Drosophila melanogaster: one gene and its partners. The gene in region 3 interacts genetically with the main gene of each other region. Each region holds a gene or a part of one and is shown on either strand. Other genes may lie near its edges.

What was found.
Region 1: of Tak1 (region 3) and Rab8, changing one suppresses a phenotype caused by changing the other (phenotypic suppression), as found in Drosophila melanogaster (one study listed by BioGRID).
Region 2: of Tak1 (region 3) and ben, changing one suppresses a phenotype caused by changing the other (phenotypic suppression), as found in Drosophila melanogaster (one study listed by BioGRID).
Region 4: of Tak1 (region 3) and PGRP-LF, changing one suppresses a phenotype caused by changing the other (phenotypic suppression), as found in Drosophila melanogaster (one study listed by BioGRID).

Annotation. Positions count from the first base shown.
Region 1 is NT_037436.4:19,866,919-19,872,755, forward strand, and holds Rab8 (Rab8), read right to left. Parts: upstream 4,161-5,837; 5' UTR 3,587-4,160; coding exon 3,463-3,586; intron 2,641-3,462; exon of another isoform or gene 2,609-2,640; coding exon of another isoform or gene 2,590-2,608; intron 2,511-2,589; coding exon 2,450-2,510; intron 2,390-2,449; coding exon 2,185-2,389; intron 1,947-2,184; coding exon 1,806-1,946; intron 1,728-1,805; coding exon 1,635-1,727; 3' UTR 570-1,634; downstream 1-569. Other genes in the region: Usp32 (ubiquitin specific protease 32), read left to right, coding at 4,476-4,536.
Region 2 is NC_004354.4:13,994,487-14,000,362, forward strand, and holds ben (bendless), read left to right. Parts: upstream 1-1,858; 5' UTR 1,859-2,037; intron 2,038-2,129; exon of another isoform or gene 2,130-2,311; intron 2,312-3,608; 5' UTR 3,609-3,674; coding exon 3,675-4,130; 3' UTR 4,131-5,319; downstream 5,320-5,876. Other genes in the region: Ste12DOR (stellate 12D orphon), read left to right, coding at 5,724-5,734, 5,792-5,876. UniProt on the Drosophila melanogaster protein: Catalyzes the covalent attachment of ubiquitin to other proteins.
Region 3 is NC_004354.4:20,521,889-20,526,540, reverse strand, and holds the start of Tak1 (TGF-beta activated kinase 1), read left to right. Parts: upstream 1-1,612; 5' UTR 1,613-2,573; coding exon 2,574-2,642; intron 2,643-3,182; coding exon 3,183-3,482; intron 3,483-3,720; coding exon 3,721-4,036; intron 4,037-4,095; coding exon 4,096-4,277; intron 4,278-4,499; coding exon 4,500-4,652. UniProt on the Drosophila melanogaster protein: Component of a protein kinase signal transduction cascade. Mediator of TGF-beta signal transduction. Responsible for activation of the JNK MAPK pathway (basket, bsk and hemipterous, hep) in response to LPS.
Region 4 is NT_037436.4:9,347,922-9,351,989, forward strand, and holds PGRP-LF (peptidoglycan recognition protein LF), read left to right. Parts: upstream 1-1,687; 5' UTR 1,688-1,764; coding exon 1,765-1,903; intron 1,904-1,974; coding exon 1,975-2,126; intron 2,127-2,522; coding exon 2,523-2,907; intron 2,908-2,945; exon of another isoform or gene 2,946-2,966; coding exon 2,967-3,400; 3' UTR 3,401-3,568; downstream 3,569-4,068. Other genes in the region: PGRP-LC (peptidoglycan recognition protein LC), read left to right, coding at 1-254; UGP (UDP-glucose pyrophosphorylase), read right to left, coding at 3,822-3,929, 3,997-4,068.

The DNA of each region.
Region 1 (5,837 bases), on a different chromosome or scaffold from region 3:
GATTTTTGAAGAAGATGAAGAGGCGGAGGGTGCAGTGGTCTGGCCATGTGAGGGATGTTTAATTCCCACGGGCTCTTTTTACAATTTTTAATTAGCTTAGCTTCGAACTCTTTTACCACCATATAATAAGAACTTTACGGGACTTTTCTTTAATTTTCCACACAGATATATAAATTTATGATGCCCCATAATGCAACATGATGTCTCGTCGGTATGTCAACGATTAAGCTATGATTCATATTCATAATCCTCTCCATCCGACTTGGGTCATTGGACATGATCCAGATCATTTAAGAGTAATCCCTGATCGAACCCTGAGCGAATAGACTTACCCACAAACTGGTATTGGATTTCTTAAGGTCCTCTCAAGTGTACCTGGGAAACCCAGTGCATTGCAGCATGGACATTTTGTATAAGTTGATAGTCCTCAGCCCATACTCTACAATGCTCCACAGCACAATCTGTCTACGCGACTTTGGGTCCGACGCGTCGAACTCGCCTGTCTCTGTTATGACAGAAGCTCAGCGCTACGAAACGAGCCATAAAATCTTTTCAAATAAAAAGTTTTTGGTTTTGCACATGATTTATTTTTATAAAATTGTATACGTTTAATCATTAATATTACAAGTAATTAATTAATATCAAATATGCAATTAGTTATCATTTAATTTCACATTATTTATATTACTGCGCTGTGTATGTGTTCATAATTGTTTATTGCTGCCGATCGATTCTCATCGATAGACTACCTTTAATTGGTGATATCTCGCAAATCTGCAAATCTTCGTTAATGTTTTAATATTAGGTGTAACGTTTTATTGACAAAGTCATGTGGTGTGCGGCAAAGAACAAAATAAATAGAGTACGAACTAACCAAATGAAATGTGTGTGAAGATTAAGAAGAATATAATAAGCACCCTCGATCTGTGCGATACTACCACATTATATTATATAAAGTTAGGACCGGGTAGGGGGAGGTGCGGGGCGGATTGGGCTGTTTTACACTTTTGGGTCATTGTGCGTCTGGACCTCCTCCGTCGTATTCCCAACGTAATGGCAAAAGGGTTTCTGAATCGATCGAAAGTACATACAAGCAATGAGCAAAACAAGGACAGGTAAACTAATCATATGCATACATAGTACATACAATATATTTGTTTTACAATTAATAATTTACAAATCGACAACCATGGCTGCTAGAGAAAATCATAATTCCGTAAATACTAAAACCTCTTCGAGAAGGACGCGGGCGGGTTGGATTGGCTGCTCTTCGATTTTCGCTATCGCTGGATCGTTTTATCTTTAAACTTGAGTTATATACGTATATATGTATACATATTATCATGCCTAGGTATATTTCGTACACGCTGTCGTCATATACTTTATTTAATAACTGTTTCATAATGCAATTTGTGTTCTATTCCATTATCGCGCTTATTCGGTTAAAGGGAGCCGGCTGCTGATTGATGTTTAAGGTTGATTTAGATGTCAGTTAATGTCCGCTTGTCGGGGTCCCGCTTGTACTCGAACCTAACAGGAGTTAAGAAAACTACTACCTCGTAGTTACCACCATAAACCACTACCGTGTAGTCGTTGCCACCATGCCGCTTCAGTGCCGAGCGCACGTTGCCACGTCAAAGCAGACTGCACCTGGACAACCAACTGTCCTTCGTCCGACTGTCCATCGGTTTCAGCTGATGGCCGCCCTTGGGTGGGTTGTTCGCCTCCTGCGCACACAAAGGATGTAAATGGTTAGCCACAGTAAAAAAAACGCTTTGTCCGAGTCTCGCCACCCGCACACTCACCATTCGCTTTTCCGTTTTCGCTTTGATATCACTGGCTAGGGTGAGGAAGGCTTCTTCCACGTTAATGCTGGCCTTCGCGGAGGTCTCCATGAACTTGATGCCATACTCGATGGCCAATTGTTCGCCGCGCTCTTTTGAAACCTACAACGGGTGGAAAATTGTTTAATTATCGGCCTTAAGGGCAGATAGCTTTATGAAGCTGAAAAGAATATTGCGCCAAATCATTGTCTATCCCTTATTGGATTTAATAACAAATGATTATACACTAACTGAATTTGAAATATATAAATAAAATGTTTGTAGATAACTTTTATGGAACAAACAAATAAACGAACTTGGAGGAATAGCCAGCGAAATCACCAATTTCTTTTTTCCATACCTGTCGCTTATCGGTCAATTCGCACTTGTTTCCCAGCAGCATTTTCTCGACATCGGCGGACGCATTTTCCTCGATATTCCTGATCCAGTTTTTGATGTTCTCGAAGGACTTTTCTTGGGTTATGTCATATACCAGCATGATGCCCATGGCACCTCTGTAATAGGCCGTGGTGATTGTGCGAAAACGCTCCTGGCCGGCAGTGTCCCTGGAAAATGAATGGAGATATAGGTAATTAGAGAATACAGATGAATCGCCTAGTACTTACCATATCTGCAGCTTAATCTTCTTGTTATCTAATTCAATTGTTCTAATTTTAAAATCGATACCTGAAAAGAGAAAACAGATGAGCATATACACACATGTACGTTTGCTAATTAATTTAAATAATTTGGCAAGAGGCTAAACCTGTTTGGTCGGAACCCATGACATCGCAGCTAAAATAAGAGACGAAGAGAACCGAAATCCACAAACCACGCAATTAATTTAAACAATGTCGTTAAGTAAATGCCCCAAAATTGGAAGTGTCGCGATGAAAACGTGCCAAAAACGAAAATAAACAATTATTAGCCACGAGCAGAAATGGGAATCGCTCTACTTTTGTGTTTACAAGTACGGGAAAGTACAGTGTGCATGTCGAATATTATTGTGATTATTATTTTAATAAGCTTAAAATTACTAGCATAATCTGATTTAACTGCCACTTGAAGTTGTACTGATTATGATTCGAATTTATTAAAAAGTATTTGCTGTGTTTGGTAGAAAGGCTTCACTGTACTCGTACGGGAACAACTACTTGAATTCCCTCTGAGACTGGGCATGGGCCTGCTGGGTATATAATAGGGCATTCCCGATTTGGCGTGCGACGGTCAAGTCTCGCATCGGAACAATCCGGCTTCTGGGGCGATAAGAGCAGCGAAAGTACAAAGACTATGGGTACTCGGACTGAGTACTCATTTCTGATCGCTTTCCTATGCGGGTGTGAATCTCAGGGCGAGATAAGGCATCCGGATATATTCCTTACGGGAAAATCTTAATAAGCGCGAGAAATCAAACATGGTGGGAGTGCCCCTCCCATGGAAACAACAATATTTATGACAAATGCGCCCGGATGGGGCAGGAAATAAAAAAGAAAAGAGGCATTTAATGAGTCACTGGGCCAGAAGCTCGGATTTCCAATTGCGAATGAGTTCATGCGAACGAAGGTGTTATAATTAATAACCAAAAAAAAAAAAAAATTAAGAATCGGAAGACACGGTAAACGCGGATGATGACACTCACCTATTGTGGATATAAACGTTGTGTTGAAGGCGTCCTCAGAGAATCGGAAGAGGATGCAGGTCTTGCCCACTCCGGAGTCACCGATCAGGAGCAGTTTGAACAGATAGTCGTAGGTTTTGGCCATTTTGTGTGCTTTTGCGGTAGGATCACAGTATCTGGCCCGATAATAGTGCTTAGCTGGGGGTTAGGGTACGGGTTAAGGGTGATGATGCTCTGTACACGTCGTCGTCTCCTTAATCAACTGACTGACTTCCTCTCCGATTCTTGGCTAATAACACTAATCACGATTATGCCCCATGCGTGCCGTTTAGCGTATGTATGTACATATACACTATACCCAGACGTAACCGCACTAATCCACAATCTAATTGAATCGACTCGAATCGAAAACGTATAGTTTTTTCCTTCTCTCCGCAGCGCAGCTCTTTTTCTCTTGGGTGTGTGTGTTGTGTTTTCGATTTCGGAGCCGTGTCAAAAATGGCGACGTAGATTTAAGACCTTTTTGTTGTCTGTGCCCGAGTTTCGGATTTCGTGCGGCGGCTTTTCCGGTGGGCAAATGCAAAGGCGCTCGCTACGCGGTGCGAGTCTACGTTGGTTTGTTGTGAAAATTACGTGGAAATGAAGTTAATTACTGCTTTCTAATTACGCCCGTACAAAAAATATGAGTTTCGATAATTCGTTGCTGCGCAACACTGGCGCGCCGTCGTCTATCGATAGCTTATCGTACGATGGGGAAAACAGCTGTTTCCAGTTAGTGTTGGAAAGTGCGCGAATATAGAAAGAAACAGAGGAAAATAGCACAAGACAAGAGTCAAAAAGACAGGTGTATATTATATATTCATACACATATATCGTCGTGATCCTGCACCTGATCCTCGCCAGCAGCCTATTGTTCCGCCCGCGACTGTGAAGTGAAGTTGAACAAATGTGAAAAGTGGCGTCGCCAGACGCAGCAGCAGGCGGAGCCCCAGAATCCATTGAGTTGCACCCCCGCAAACAAGAAATTCTGGACCATGGGCACCAAGGAGTCCAAGCACTCCAATAGCGTCAGCTACGAGGATTCGGTGAAACGCGGTGAGTCTCCTCCGGCTGGTTACTTGTGGGGCCGTCTCCCAGCCGCAGAAAATAGGTCACTGCCAATCAAGAAAACAGAACCCCCTGCGAAAGCAACAACAACGTACAAGCAGGTGCAATCGATTCCATTGTGTTGTTGCGCCCACGTCTTCTGACCAACGGGAATCACCACTGACTTCCGCCACCACCATCCTCATGCTCCTCTTAATCCTATCTCTTGCAATTATCTACTGCCATTCCAGTGTGGCTTCTTTATTGCATGTGTTTTCATGTGCATGGGTATTTGCGTCTCCGCCGCCAATGACGTCACAATAGAAAAGCTAACCGAATGGGGTGGCAGTTGGAGGTGTGCGCTGTGTGGGTGAGAGACAACAAAGCAGCGAAGGCACATGAGAAACAGTTAGACAGCCAGTGGAGTGCAGTTCACGCTTAGGGTGACTGGAATGCGCGGATGCGGATGTCGCTGCGAATACGATTCATTTCAAGTTCAGCATGTCATTCCAGTGTTCATTTCAATTCGCACTCTATGGGCAAAGGTCTTCTGTTGAAGTATTTTATAAAGAAGCCTACTTTAAAATTTTTTTGTTTATAATGAAATGAAATTATAATGAAAGGGGAGCATTTTGGATTTCGATTTTCCAATTGGAATATCCATAAGAAAAATGTTTTAAAATAAATAATTCATTGGGCTTTTAATTCTGCATGTCATTTCCTTATTTCTTAAAATTCCTCTTTAAGTGGAATATGTTCAGATAGGAAAAGGAATTACTGTGTTTAAAACAAGCTGATAAGCCAAAAAAATAGAAATTTATTTACAAAGTATGAAAATCGGAATGTTCACTCTTCTCCAAATATTTTATAATAATGAACCAGCAATAAAATTGGTAATCATTCAGAAGAGTTAAGATTATTTAAGCCAACTTGTATACCCATTTTCGGCCCACTTTCAATGACGTTTAGCTTCCCTTAGTGCTTTTCACTTACTTTATTCCGCCTTCCCTTTGCGCTGGCAATCATCTAAATGCTGGTGTTGTTATGGTTATGGTTGCTGATTTGTGGCCAGGCGGCCCAGCCAGAGTTAAGAAAACGAGTGTCGCTGATAAGGCTCACTCCCCCGGAACACCAGCACTCCGGACCACCCCTCCACCACCCACCATCACTGGTGTGGGGCGTGCGACCGGGTGCGTGTGTTTCTTATTAGCCACTCCAACCGGTTCCAGTAAAACCAAGGGGGAAGTGAGGACTAGCATGCAAGTATGTGCGCGGTGGTCAATAATCGCAGACTCGAGTTGCAGTTAACA
Region 2 (5,876 bases), 6.5 Mb from region 3:
ATATATGTATGTACATATGTACATAGATACATCTATTATTTCAATGACTTATTGTACGAAAACCAAGAGAATTTCATTATATTCTACCACTAAAGAAGTGGCTATACTAGTCTTTCTTTTTCGACTAAATCTTCACTTTGTAGCAGAACTTTAAAACGTCCTTCGATTTGAATGTCTTCTTACACTCTTCACCTCGTCTTCTCTATCAATTTCTTCTCCCCTTTCCCCCCTCACTTTCTATCACATTCCTTTGAAGATCAGCTGTAGCGGTTAGAATTTGGCCATATCGAGCGTAAAAATACATAGAGGAAGGCACTAAAAACAGCTGCAGCTCAAGAGCGAATAAAGGTCGCCCCCGTTCCGCCCTCTCTTGCTCTTTCATCCCCTCTCGCACCAACCCACACACTTTCACACACACACACACACACGTGCACTGCGTAGGGAAAAGCAGCGCAGTTGCAGCAGAAAAACAGATAAACAGCAAAGCAGAAAAGAGGCAGGTTGCTCTCTCTCGCTCTCACTTGTGGGCTGGACTACAGTCGTTGTTGTTGGTTTGGCCAGCCTAAAAACGGAGATCGCACGTGTGTGTGTGTGTTTGTGTGCGGTGTGTGTAATGCTTATGGCTGTCTTGCTGTTGTTGGTTTTGTTGCCCTTTTGCAGTTGGTGTTTGTTTTTATCTCACACTCGCACACACACATGCAACCGGCCTATGCAATCGAACGAATACGAATGGTAAATAGCATGTGTGTGTGCGAGCGAGAGGTTTCGCTTGTTTTTTTTTGTATTTTAGTTTTCTGCCTTCCGCCTTGTGGTTTTTGTTGTTGCTCATTTCGGCTTCTTGTGCGTCCATTGGGCATTGCATTCGAGGTGTGTGGGTGTGAGTGCAAGTGCGCAGTTGTGTGTGTGTGTTCGGACAGCCTCTCTTTTTAAAAACGCATAAATGTTGATTACAGTAAATTGACAATTTGTTGTTGTTGCTATCTCGCTTTTTGGGTTTATGTTTTTGCACGTGTCTGATTGGAATCCTGTACCGGCTCCTTTTAGACTTGTTAAATAACGAAACCTATGTACAATCATTTTTTTAATCATTAATTTGCTATCGAATAATACTAAAGAAATAAAATTTATTTTAATTTGCATGCAATTTTTTTTTATTATAAGTCTTATTGTGATAAAAGTTTTTGGGAAACACATGGTTATGATGTTAAAAAGAACATAAAACCATATTAATAAGTGCTAATATGCAGTTCAAATATCGCTTTATAAAGTGCTGACATAAATGACCAAATTTCTCGAGAATTTTAGATGTATTTACCTTAGGTATGAAGTTAGGTTACATCTGATGAATATTAAAAATGCAAAGCATTGGTTTTAAGCAACGAAAACAAAGATCAAAGTCGTCGATTAAATAAATCCCGACTAAATTTATTGCTTATTCCCGGGAACTTACACTTTTTGTTACTTCTCTTTCGTGTTTCTTTCAACTGGATTTGTCCCGCCAATTTTCCAATCAAAATTTCTGACAGAAAAAAGCTAAGCGCTCCAAAACCTTGGGTTGTAGCGTGCCGAAGAGCTGATTGCTATGAAACACTGTCCTATTTGACAGCCGCTAAGCGCTAGAGTTGTCACCGAAAATGCGTTTTTACTAGTGCGAACAATAAAATTACCTGCGCAAAAATGGAAAAATGGGATAAAAAACAAGATGAGTAGCAAAGAAAATATTTAAAGATATATTTGTACTGAAATTAAACTGAGAAGGAGGTGCAAACGTGTTGCAAAAAAATTGAATTCACATCTAGGCACCCTAGCAACCCTGTCATTTTGACATTGCCGCTCACACGCACGCCACACAGACGCACGTTAGTCACAGCAACGCACACACACACTACCAAACGGCTACATTTTTTTTCGAGTGTGTTCGACATTCATAATTTTTGTGGTGGAGCTGCCTGCAAAATCGAATTTTATCAGTTTGCCAACGAAGTTATCGGCCATAACTGCAAATAAAGTTCAGCAATAACTTGGCGCTGTTACGATGTGAGTTTGTGTTTTATCGAAAGTTGCATACTTTATCTAAAAACCATTGTTTTTGTCCAAAAATGTTGTAAATGCCCGAAAAAATACCAAAGTGAGAACAACAACAACAACAGCAGCAAAAAAAAAGCAGGAGCAGCAGCAGCAGAAGAAGCAGAGGCAGCAGATAAAATTTAATATAATATCGAAGAAGAGCAAGAAAAAAGCCGTAAAAGTTGATAAATCGAATATATATGTGTGTGTGTGTGAAAAATAATAATTGCGGCGTTCGCACCAAGTATTCGCCGTTTTTTTCTATTAACTTAAATTCGCCAAAAAAGCGGCGTTTGCTTTTCTTCTTTTCTTGACTCGCCCTCTTTGTCTCACCCATCCGCATATTCTCTTTTCGCCTTTGTCTTTTTCGTGCGCGTTGTCTGCATTTTGTCTGTGTGCGTGGGTGCGTGACTCGCTGTGTCTGTGTGTGTGCGTATGCAAGCGAAATTGTTGCTTGTAAAAAAGAAAAATCTTATTTGGTTTTTTTTTTGTAGTTTAATTGCCAACATTATTGATTTTTCAAGCGGTTCACCCCGTTTCTCCCCCTCCGCATTCCTCCTGTCCAATCTGCTTCTTCTTCCTCTGCGGAACTACGTGCATTTGTCACCCAAAAGGGAAATCAATAAGTTGGTAAAACAGCGAAACGCCGCACATTATGGTTAAATTATTGCTGTTTTCGCGTTAATAACGCAATTTCTTTTGTTTGCTTCGAGTGTTTTTCGTTGCTGTTGTTGTTGCTTTCGCAATACAATTTCTGGAAATTTTGGGGCATTCATTTATTGCCTTTTGTTTCTGGTTTATCTGCGTCTTTCTTTCCCCTTCTCCTCTTTATTTTACTTGATTTTCCGTGTGTCTGGGAAATGTAAACAGTTAAAGGAGCCGCAAGGTCACGCTAAAGGAGTTGGCAATAGTGGGTGGGCTTTGACTTACACAAGCAGAAATTTATTTTGAACTTCGCAAAAAGTGTAACGGAAATAAATCCAGAAAATATTGAAAATATTGGTTTACAATATAGTCTAGATATCCAGAATCAAGTTAATAACTTTGAATTCCGTTCATATACTTCAATATAAATATTATTAAGTACTACAATTTGAAAACATCTTTAAATATACAACATATTTTGAATTAGTTTATTTTTTTTTTTAGCCACATAGAGACATCTTTGTGGCATGCTAAATTCTGTAGTAAAACTTTCTTGGGGAAAGTGAAAGCCACGTATCAGACCAAAATCCACCCAACCCTGCACACACGCATCCCCATAAAGAACGACCTTGAGCTGCAAAAAGGAAAATTCTCTTTGACTTGCCACGCTCTTCCCCAAGAAAACCAAGTGAAACTCCAATTTACTAATGCTACTATTTCACCGATACATGTAGTTGAGCCCTTATTTAAATTAGTAATTAGTTTAATTTCACAGTTGAAACCACGACTGTAAACATTAGGGATACTAATTTATAGTCTTAATTAACGTTGAGTGGATAGTGGATGATACCGAGGAACTACTTAATTGGTTAACTTCACTCCGATCTCGTTTGCAGCTCAACGAGAAGGTCCAGACTCAACCCGCGTTTCCAGTTCACCGCGTAAAAGGAACCAGCTAAACGATGTCCAGCCTGCCACGTCGCATCATCAAGGAGACTCAACGTTTGATGCAGGAGCCAGTGCCTGGGATCAATGCCATTCCCGATGAGAACAATGCCCGTTACTTCCATGTGATCGTGACCGGACCGAACGATTCGCCCTTCGAGGGCGGCGTGTTCAAGCTGGAGCTGTTCCTACCGGAGGACTATCCAATGTCAGCGCCCAAAGTGCGCTTCATCACGAAGATCTACCATCCGAACATCGATCGTTTGGGCCGCATTTGCCTCGACGTGCTGAAGGACAAGTGGAGTCCAGCCCTGCAGATCCGGACCATATTGCTATCCATTCAGGCACTGCTCAGTGCACCCAATCCCGACGATCCGCTGGCCAACGATGTGGCTGAGTTGTGGAAGGTCAACGAGGCGGAGGCCATTCGCAATGCCCGCGAGTGGACCCAGAAATATGCCGTCGAAGACTGAACGCCCGAGGTCAGGAGGAAAGTCAGAAAGCGGATCCGTCAGTTGTATCGGCGTTTTTCCAGAAAGTGGGTGCGTGACATGAACGGGCGGGTGGGTAAATTGAATACTTTAAAAGCAACCAGAAAAACCTAAAACATACGAAAGAAAACATAAAATAAGAAAAAAGTAAGGAAGCAAACATAAAAAAAAACGATTTAAGAACACATTTTTTTTTCGAACCTTCTGGGGCGGGATATACATATAAAATATTAATATATATATTTTTTTCAACCAATCGATCGGGGCGATCGGCGAAATGGAGGAGAGATAGCGAAAGCATTCTTTATGTAAGACGTATACATGTATCCGAAACAAACTAAAAACGAAAAAAAAAAAAAAAAAAAAAAACAGTAATTGGTTTTAGTCGTTTCTATTGATTTGTTCGAGGGTTCTGGTGTCTATATACATATAGCCGTATATAATTCTATGTGTAACTGAAATAACCAACCCATAACCATTAACACATGTAGCATCAGATATGATAAATCAATTGGAAAGGCAAACAAGAAGGGATTTTGATTTCCTTTAACTCGTCATTTGAAAACTCGGCTTAAATGTCAATTCAAAATAGAGAATTTTGATTGTATCATTTTCAGTGTTTCAGAAAATTTAAGATGTGATCGTCCAACTTGTAGACTTTACTTTTCTTAACTAAGAGTTCACCATTTCGATTGATACTTGAGCTTTGCCTGGGTTGTGTCAGAGTCCCTTTGATAAACGATAAATAGTTTTTACTCGAAAACAATTTTTTTTAACCAAACAATGAAGCCTTTAAGCTATTAGTAATTTTTGAAAAAAAAAAAAATAAAAAATATATATATAAAAAATATACAAAAATATGATACATGATCAAAATACAATGAATGCATACACTATATATTTATACAAAAAAAATACAAAAAGAAAAACAAAAGTAGTGGCTTGATTGCGTGAAAATTTCAAGTGCAGTTCTCAACAAAAATTGTGTACAGTAATTAAATGTTTGTCACCGAAATCACTAAAGGATAATCCAAAAAACAATAGCAACCGAAAAGCAACCATAAATCAAAGAGTAAGCGAAAATAAAAATTCAGTTTTCTTTAATTTTAATTAATTTTTTTCTAAGAAAAATAAATAAAAACGAAAAATTCAAATAAAAATTATAAAAAATAAACCGAGTTGTGTTTTATTTAAATAGTTAAGTGGTAATATAACTGAATGGTAAGTTTATTAATTAATTTAAGTGTTAAAAAATTACTGAATTTATAGGATTTTGATTTGGATACTATTTATAAATAGTATCAGCCGATGCTGCCTTGTCGAAACAATGACATTTGATTTGTTTTTGGCCCAACTGACACATAAAATATCGTATGCATAACATATTATGAAATAAAAGAACTAATACTTATTATGCCAGCCGAACATAAAACGAATTTTCGAGTCTAGAGTTCCCATCTGGAAGGGCATGACAGAGTCCTGGCAGGCCTTTTAGCACGTGTCAAAAACTCAAAGAAGAAGACGATGACTTTGAAGTCTACAAATCATATTTCTCTGAACAAGTGAACTGGCAACATGTCGAGCTCGTAAGTAACTAGGTTTTTCCTATAGAAATTATAGCAAGTCACAGTAAAATCTTGTAGCCAGAACAACAACAGCAGCTGGATCGATTGGTTCCTCGGGATCAAGGGCAACCAGTTCCTCTGCCGCGTGCCCACCGACTACGTG
Region 3 (4,652 bases):
ACGGTTGTGATGTACTCGGTGTACATGAGGCAAAAAGATGTTGTGCTAAGTCCATGTCGTTCTTTGTTGCGTGGCCTGGGCAAGGCGGCCACGTTGCCTCTGGGAGTTTTCGCTGGAGATGTTCAAATAGACGATATGGAGACTGTTCAAAACTTCATCGTGGTGGCGGATGAAAAAATGGAAGGTGATGGAAGTGCATTGGATACGATTTTCTATCGAAGTTTCAATTTACACTGGATGTAAATGGGTTTACGTTTTGTGTCGTTATCAGCTTGGCCTGAGGTAGCTAACATTAACCAGATAAGTATTCACGATTATGTTTGCACTGAAAGTAATGTGAATGCTCCTCCCCAATTTGCACCTATGATACGGAAGCTGATAGACGAATATCATCCAACCTCCAATTGTGCCGGATGAGAAAATTAAGACGTTTCGTCATCAACCAAGTCGACATCCGCCAGTTAAAGCCAAAGCCGTTAAAAAACAAGTCGATGACTGGTTAAAAGAAGAAATCGATTGACCATCTACTTCAAGCTTCGCCAGTAGAACTGTCGTAGTGAAGAAAAAAGTACGGCACTTACAGAATCTGTATAGGACTATCGCCAATTAAACAGCATGGTTCTCAAGGATTGCTTCCCTGTGTCGATTTCCTGCAATTCTACTGCGGCATTTATAAGATTTATAAACCACATATTCCCGAGACATTCTACAACTCTATATGGATGATATTATAATATATGGACAGACGAATGACGAATGTATTAAGAAACTAAAGTTGGTGCTATTAGAATCAGCGAAGTTCGGCTTACGTATAAAGTGAAAGAAATGTCATTTCATACGCACGATATTGGAAGAACGACCTTACAATGACCTTAAACTGAAGGGAGGAGTTTTATTCATGTTTGTCAAAGGAAATGATTTGCTTATTGTACCTAAAATAATCGAACGTAAGATTATAAACGAAGCTCATGGATTCGGACATTATGCAAACCAGAACAAACCGTACATTCTATACAACAGCAGTTTTGGATTCCACACCTAGAGAGCAAGGTCGAAAAGCTTATAGACGCGTGTATTCCGTGTATTATTACGAACAAAAAGCTGGGCAAACAGGATGGACTTTTATGATGCATTGAGAAAGGTGACAAGCCGTTACACAATATAAGTACATCTTCGCACTTGTTGGTGGATTTTTGAAATTCGTGTGGATTTTTACTACAAAATGTCTTAACAACAACTGGAGTTGCCAGAGGAAATGGGCGGGTAGAGAGAATTAAATAGATCTATCTTATCGTTTTAAAAATACAACAACGATTGAAAACTCTCGAAATGGGATGTACTGGCGCCATCTATCGGAGGTAATAGGTACCCCGAGACGCATGCAAAGCGCCAGAGGGCGACACAGCTCCTCTGACGAGATGGCATCACTATTTTTATTGGGAGTATTGGTATCTCGGGTGTAAAAATTAAATTGATGCCTAATTTTTGAAAATATGTCACACAAATAATAAGTATCTTTTAAGTGGATAGATCCATTGATGTCGCTGGAATTAAAAATACAAATACCAATGTTATCGTTATCGGCGAGTCCACACTGTGCTAGGCAAAAATATCGACGTACCTTGCGCCCGATATCTGGCACTAATGTATCGATGACGGTCTTGTTAAATTATTAAAAAAAAAACAAGTTTGTACTTGAAAAGTACGGCGTATATCTACAGCGAAGAACGCAAGAACCCGCCAAGGCAGCGTCCGATGCAGACGCCATCTGTTCAAGCATTGAGCCCGGAATCCGGAGGAATCCCGGCCAGGATGTGATGTGCGCACTGGGCCCTCTCCGCTGGTCGATATAAACTCGTGCCCCCCTCTTCTAGCCACCTTCTTGCTGTCAACCGCCTGCTCATTCTACCCCACAGTTCCAGTCCCAGTCCTGCACAGCAATCATCTTCGCCTGGAGAAGTCTACCGGTAGCACGAGTGGTGGAACCAGGCAGACTACAAAGGACACGGAGACCGCGGTGTCTGGGAAATCGGCTGAGCACGGAAACCGATCCACTAGGGTTGGCATCACGCACCACTTTGTCCAGGAACCTGCAGCTGAGGAATCTAGATAACATCTGAAGTCTCCTGGGAACTGCGAAACACACCATATCTTAGCAAAATGACGTGGTAAAAGTTGTCAGTCGCAATCTATACAAAGGCAAGAAACTTTATGATGAATCCAGGTCTAGATCTTGCAAAGATTCCGAAAACTCTGTCCCCAAGAGGGAACCAAAGGCACAGTTAGCCAGCAATGAAATCGGGAACCCACGGAATCGTAGCCACTAAAAAGGCGAAATCCCGGTAATTCTACCAAAATAGCGCACCACCTGGACACCATAGAAGAGAGCCTTAAGGCAAGGAATCGGTGGCATACTTGGACAGTTGAAGAGAACTTTAAATCTGGTAATCAGCGGCGCCAAATGCAACTGCAACTGGTAAACTAGTACTCATTTGTAAGCCAAAACACTGACAAACAAAAGCTGCATCTGAAAAGCAAGTAGAGAACACCAGGATACTTAGCGTTCCACGGAGATGGCCACAGCATCGCTGGACGCACTGCAGGCAGCCTATGTGGACTTCAGTGAGATAACACTAAGAGAGGTGTGCATACCAAACGGAATATACCCAAAGTCTAGAGCTCCTATTGGTGTATACGTATACGCAATCTTGAAACGATAAACAACCAGTAATCATATACCATTTAGGGCAGAGCAAGTACTCATTCTTAGTTAGTCAGACGATTATCGCACTTTCAAAAAGCATGTTTTAATCTATAAACGGTTATTTTTTCGTTTTAAAAGTGTATGCTTTGTAACAGCTCTGTTAAAAAACCCAAGAAAGGTTTTATATTTTAAACTTACGCATTCCTAAATGCTTACATTCGTTTTAGGATTTCGTTTCAAACTTATTAAAACAAACTACAGACTGTATACAAATATCAGCATATTTATTAACGATACGATCTTATCAGTTTGATAAGAAACGAATTTCAAATTTACCCATCACAATGCGTTCGTGTGTTCTACTTGAAGTCAATTCAAACTGTGTTAGACCAAGGTGTATAACGTAATTAGTATTGAGGAGTTTTGCACAAGGAGGGTACAACTGTTGAATCAGATCTAATAATCTTTTTCCCCGCAGAAAGTCGGCCATGGGTCCTACGGAGTGGTCTGCAAGGCCGTTTGGCGCGACAAGCTGGTTGCCGTCAAGGAGTTCTTCGCCAGCGCCGAGCAGAAGGACATCGAGAAGGAGGTGAAGCAGTTGTCGCGCGTGAAGCACCCGAACATCATCGCTCTGCACGGGATATCCTCGTACCAGCAGGCCACCTACCTGATAATGGAGTTCGCCGAAGGTGGATCGCTGCACAACTTCCTTCACGGCAAGGTGAAGCCGGCATATTCTCTGGCCCACGCCATGAGCTGGGCGCGCCAATGTGCAGAGGTAGGTCGTCGTCGAGGGGCGGGGCGGTTATAACGTAGGGCTCAACCCCGTAGCGCTTTCCATCCAATTCGTTGAAATTATCTGGTGAAATAATGACTCAAATGGATTGTGGTAATTCACATTGCTTGCATGATTACTTAAACAATTTCAATAGCTATTCCGCATAACCAGAATTAAAATAATAGTAATTTGTTTAAAGTTTAGCCCTAATTACATTTCCATTTGTTTTCCTCTCTAGGGTCTGGCATATTTGCATGCCATGACGCCAAAACCACTAATACATCGCGACGTGAAGCCGCTGAACCTGCTCTTGACCAACAAGGGACGCAATCTGAAGATATGCGACTTCGGCACGGTGGCGGACAAGTCGACCATGATGACCAACAATCGCGGCAGTGCCGCTTGGATGGCGCCCGAGGTCTTCGAAGGCTCCAAGTATACGGAGAAGTGTGACATTTTTAGCTGGGCCATTGTTCTATGGGAGGTTCTGTCCAGGAAGCAGCCCTTTAAAGGCATCGACAATGCCTACACCATCCAGTGGAAGATCTACAAGGGTGCGTCCTCCAATTCACTCTTTTTCCATCGAGCTTATCGAGATCTGTGCTCCTCGCAGGTGAACGCCCGCCGCTGCTGACCACTTGCCCCAAGCGCATCGAGGACCTGATGACCGCCTGCTGGAAAACGGTGCCCGAGGATCGCCCGTCGATGCAGTACATAGTGGGCGTTATGCACGAGATCGTCAAGGACTATACGGGGGCGGACAAGGCCCTGGAATACACGTTTGTTAATCAACAGGTGAGACAGCTTTATTGGGTCAATACACAATTGTAAAAGAGTCAATTGGTGTTTTTATCTATTGAGGAAAGCGTTCTTTTACTCTGCCCGTCTTTAAAACCTAATTTAAATTCGATATTGTTTGGCACTAAATGCAATCATTACCCTATACGGATAACATCACTTTTGCGTTATTTTCCTTTGCCACACATTGCTAACTCTTGATCCTTGAACTGCTCGCAGATTGTCACCAAAGAGAGCGACGGCACGGTGGCCGCTCAACCGGATAGCCTCAGTTCGCAGGAGGGGGAACTGAGCCCCTCGTCCACACAGTTAACACCGACAACGGCGGCCAACGCCAATGTGAACGCGATAGCAATATCAAAAACAACGACT
Region 4 (4,068 bases), on a different chromosome or scaffold from region 3:
TGGGTGCCCACATGAACAATATAAACTATGACTCGCAGAGTCTTAGCTTCGCCTATATCGGATCGTTTAAGACCATCCAGCCGTCGGCCAAGCAACTAAGTGTTACTCGTCTTTTGCTGGAGCGTGGCGTAAAGCTGGGCAAGATTGCACCAAGCTACCGATTTACGGCGAGCAGTAAATTGATGCCAAGTGTAACCGATTTTAAGGCGGATGCGCTCTACGCAAGCTTCGCCAACTGGACTCATTGGTCGTGAATAGGTTAAGAGCTATTTCGATATTTTGCAATACTATCATTTATTTTCGTATTGATTTTGTATCATAGGTGTTCTCCCATTAATGTGTGGCATATTCGATTTAGCTAGAGTAACGATTCGTTTAAAAAGAAAATGTGATATTAAATAAAACAAAATGATTTACTTGATGAATTTCAATCATGTATGGGGATCAAGAACTAGCTGATAACTGGAATCGGGGAATTTCTGTAGAGGTGCTGTCTGGAACTGCCTGAAACCGGAAAAGTTGTAATATGGCTTGGCTTTTCTACGCATTCTTCCACCTGCGAGTTATGGGGCTTCCCCGATTATTGGAATTTTTAATTTCTTTCGCGACTATCTTAAAATTATTATATTATTATATTATAATTATTATTTTATACGGAGGTTAGTTTGCCTGGAGGTTGTTTTATCCGGACGTTAGTTTGCCTGCGGTTGTTTTATCCGGAGGTTTATTTATCCGGGAATCATTTTATCCGTTTTTATCCGGAGGTTAGGTTGCCTGGGGTTGTTTTATCCAGAGGTTAGTTTGCCAGGGGCTTAGCTTTCCTGGGCGTTACTTTATCGGGGGTTATTTTATCCGGAGGCTCGTTTGTTAGGGGGTTTGACTGGGGGAGTGTATTACCTGGAGGTTCATTTAACCCGAGGTTAGTTTGGCTTGGGGTTATTTCATCTGAAGGTTAGATCGTCTAGTGGTTATTATAGCAGGAGGTAAGTTTGCCTGGGGGTTTTTGTGGCTGGGTTTTGTTTTACCAGACATTTACTATCCGGAGGTTAGTTGGTCTGGAGTTCAGTTTGGCTGGGATATCTTATATCTGGCAAATATTTTATCCGGAGGTTGTATAGGCTCCATTTTACCTAAGTTTTAGTTTGTCTGTTAAAGAAATGTTTGCTAAATTCGCTTTCTTTTTCTACTTATCACGATCTATCTGCGTTCTATTTATGACAAAATAAAAACAGAATAATAATCGTGAAGAACTCTTTTTGGGTCAGTTGATCAAATCGCAGCCGCTAACTGTAGTCGGTCACTCATTCCAAGAAACCGGAAAACATCATAACTTCGGTCCAAAGATGAGCTAGCTTCTTTCAAAAACGCTAAGAGTAAGTATACGCCCCCTTGACAAAATGGGATTCCCATTTCTTGGACTGCTCACTACCATCAAATATCTCTTTCTAATCTCAAGTGGGCGGCGTTCAGAGATCGCGCACCCTGTTGCAAAAATGGCACCCTATATTAAGCTTTAAAAAGCTTTCTTTAGTTATACATACATATATTTATTTATAGGTATGAATATCTCTTATCAACAAGCTTATGAACTGCGCAGTCGCTTTAGGTTTTCAAATGTCCGGGGATTTTTCGGAGCCGTCAACAGAAATAAACAACAACCGGACTTGAGATCGGGTGCGTACTCACTTCAGTTGGCATCGGACGTTCGTCGTGCGAGGATCGATCGCGGTTGTGGGTAGTGCGATATAGTGAAAACATCTCAAGATGCCGAAAACAGTGGTAGTTACTCACCCAGGAAAACCGATAAATAACGAGAAAAGATTTCGCTTCGAGCTTCTCTATTTCTGTGTGATTCTTCTAATGGTTGTGGGTTTAGCAGCTGGCTATTTCATGTGGATGATGTGTGAGTCATTAAAGCGAATCGTAGATTGAATACAATTTAATAACCAATAACCAATTGTTAACCTGGTTTAGCCTTCTCCACACATTCGCCGAACAAGGGCCTACACATACTCGATCGCAGCGAATGGCTGGGGGAACCACCCAGTGGGAAGTACCCGCACCTTAAGCTTCCCGTCTCCAATATTATCATTCATCACACGGCAACCGAAGGATGCGAACAAGAGGTAAGTCTTACTTTGGGAATTTTAAATTGTTAATATCAAAGTGATATAGAATTGCTTTAAAGCTAACTTGAAACCAGTTTGTTTTACTTAGCTTACTGCGGCAATTACTTAGGATTCATGAAAAGGCTTTATTGTAACCAGTTGTTCTTTTCTTATCTACAAAAATTTATATAAATAATCAACCCAAAACTTTTCCTAGAAAGCCTCGTAAAACCGATATTATAATTCAATAGCTTGCCATAAAAAAAAACCCCCGCTTTGAGTCTATAGATCGACATACTTTTCGGTAAAAAACCCCCATTCTTCAGCACTATTTCGAGTTAATTAAACTTTTCTAAAAGTTAGCGGTTAAAAGACTGTTTACTTATGCATAAATCTTATTTCTATCTCGCCCAGGATGTTTGCATATACCGCATGAAGACCATTCAGGCGTTCCATATGAAATCTTTTGGTTGGGTCGACATTGGCTATAACTTTTTGGTGGGCGGCGATGGTCAAATATACGTAGGACGCGGCTGGCACATCCAGGGTCAGCATGTGAATGGATATGGTGCCATCTCCGTTAGCATAGCCTTTATCGGAACTTTTGTGAATATGGAGCCACCAGCTCGACAAATCGAAGCAGCCAAGCGACTGATGGACGAGGGCGTACGTCTCCATAGATTGCAACCGGATTATCATATATATGCCCATCGACAATTAAGCCCCACCGAAAGTCCTGGCCAGAAGCTTTTCGAGCTGATGCAAAATTGGCCCCGATTCACGCAGGATCCAACATCATGTAATGCAGTTGAAAGAAAAAAATACGAGAATATATTTATTTTCAAAATTTATTTTCAGTGCGACTCCTAAGCAATGAGACTGTAAAGATCGTTACCCGACCCTATTGGTTGGCCCAGCCACCTATAGTGCCACTTACTCCTTTGAAGCTGCCAATTGAGAGCGTGAGATTTGTGGCAACCAACACGCCATCATGTTTCACTCAAGCCGAGTGCACTTTTCGAGTGCGCCTTCTGCAAAATTGGCACATCGAGAGCAATGGATATAAGGATATTAACTATAATTTCGTTGCGGCTGGGGACGAAAACATCTACGAGGCCAGAGGTTGGGATCACAGCTGTGAACCTCCAAAAGATGCAGATGAACTAGTCGTGGCCTTTATTGGTCCATCGAGTAGCAATAAAAAGATAGCATTAGAACTAATCAAACAGGGCATAAAACTTGGTCATATAAGCAAGAACTATAGTCTAATTGACGATTTAGAAAAGTCATAGAAAACTGAAAGCAAGGGGAATGAAACTTGGCTAGTGCCATTCCTGTGCCATTTTTCAAAGTGATATTAATTTAAGACCTAATGTTAAGCATCACAAATATCTCACATCCAATAGGTGACAATCTCCTTCGTATTTATAGAAATAAACATGCCTTTATTGAGTTTCAACAGCTGCTATCTTTTATATCTCATTTGAACGACTACAACTAACATTTTTGAAAACATATTGCAATTCGATTTTGATTAAAAACCCTGACTGATTTCTACTTAACGATATATACAGATGACACACTTTGTGCTTACAACAATTGGCTAAATGAAATTCGTTATTGGAAATTTGAAACGCGAACATGGCTACTACATAAAACTTAGACAATTAGACTACAGTTAGTGAGACGATATCCAATTGTACAGGATTTGATTTAGTGGTCCAAGATGCGCATATTGCCAGATACAATCTTGTTCTCCAGAATGGCTCCAGCTGGGATATCGATACGATCGCCATGGTTAGCAATGATGATCACAGTGCCCTGCAGAATCAAGTTAAGACATGTTATTAGCGTATTTAAAATACCATTCAATATTATTCAAACTTACGCGCAAAGAAACGCCACGACCGAAAGTCACATCTCCGCTCACGGTCAAGTGATCCAGCTCAATGATGTCCGG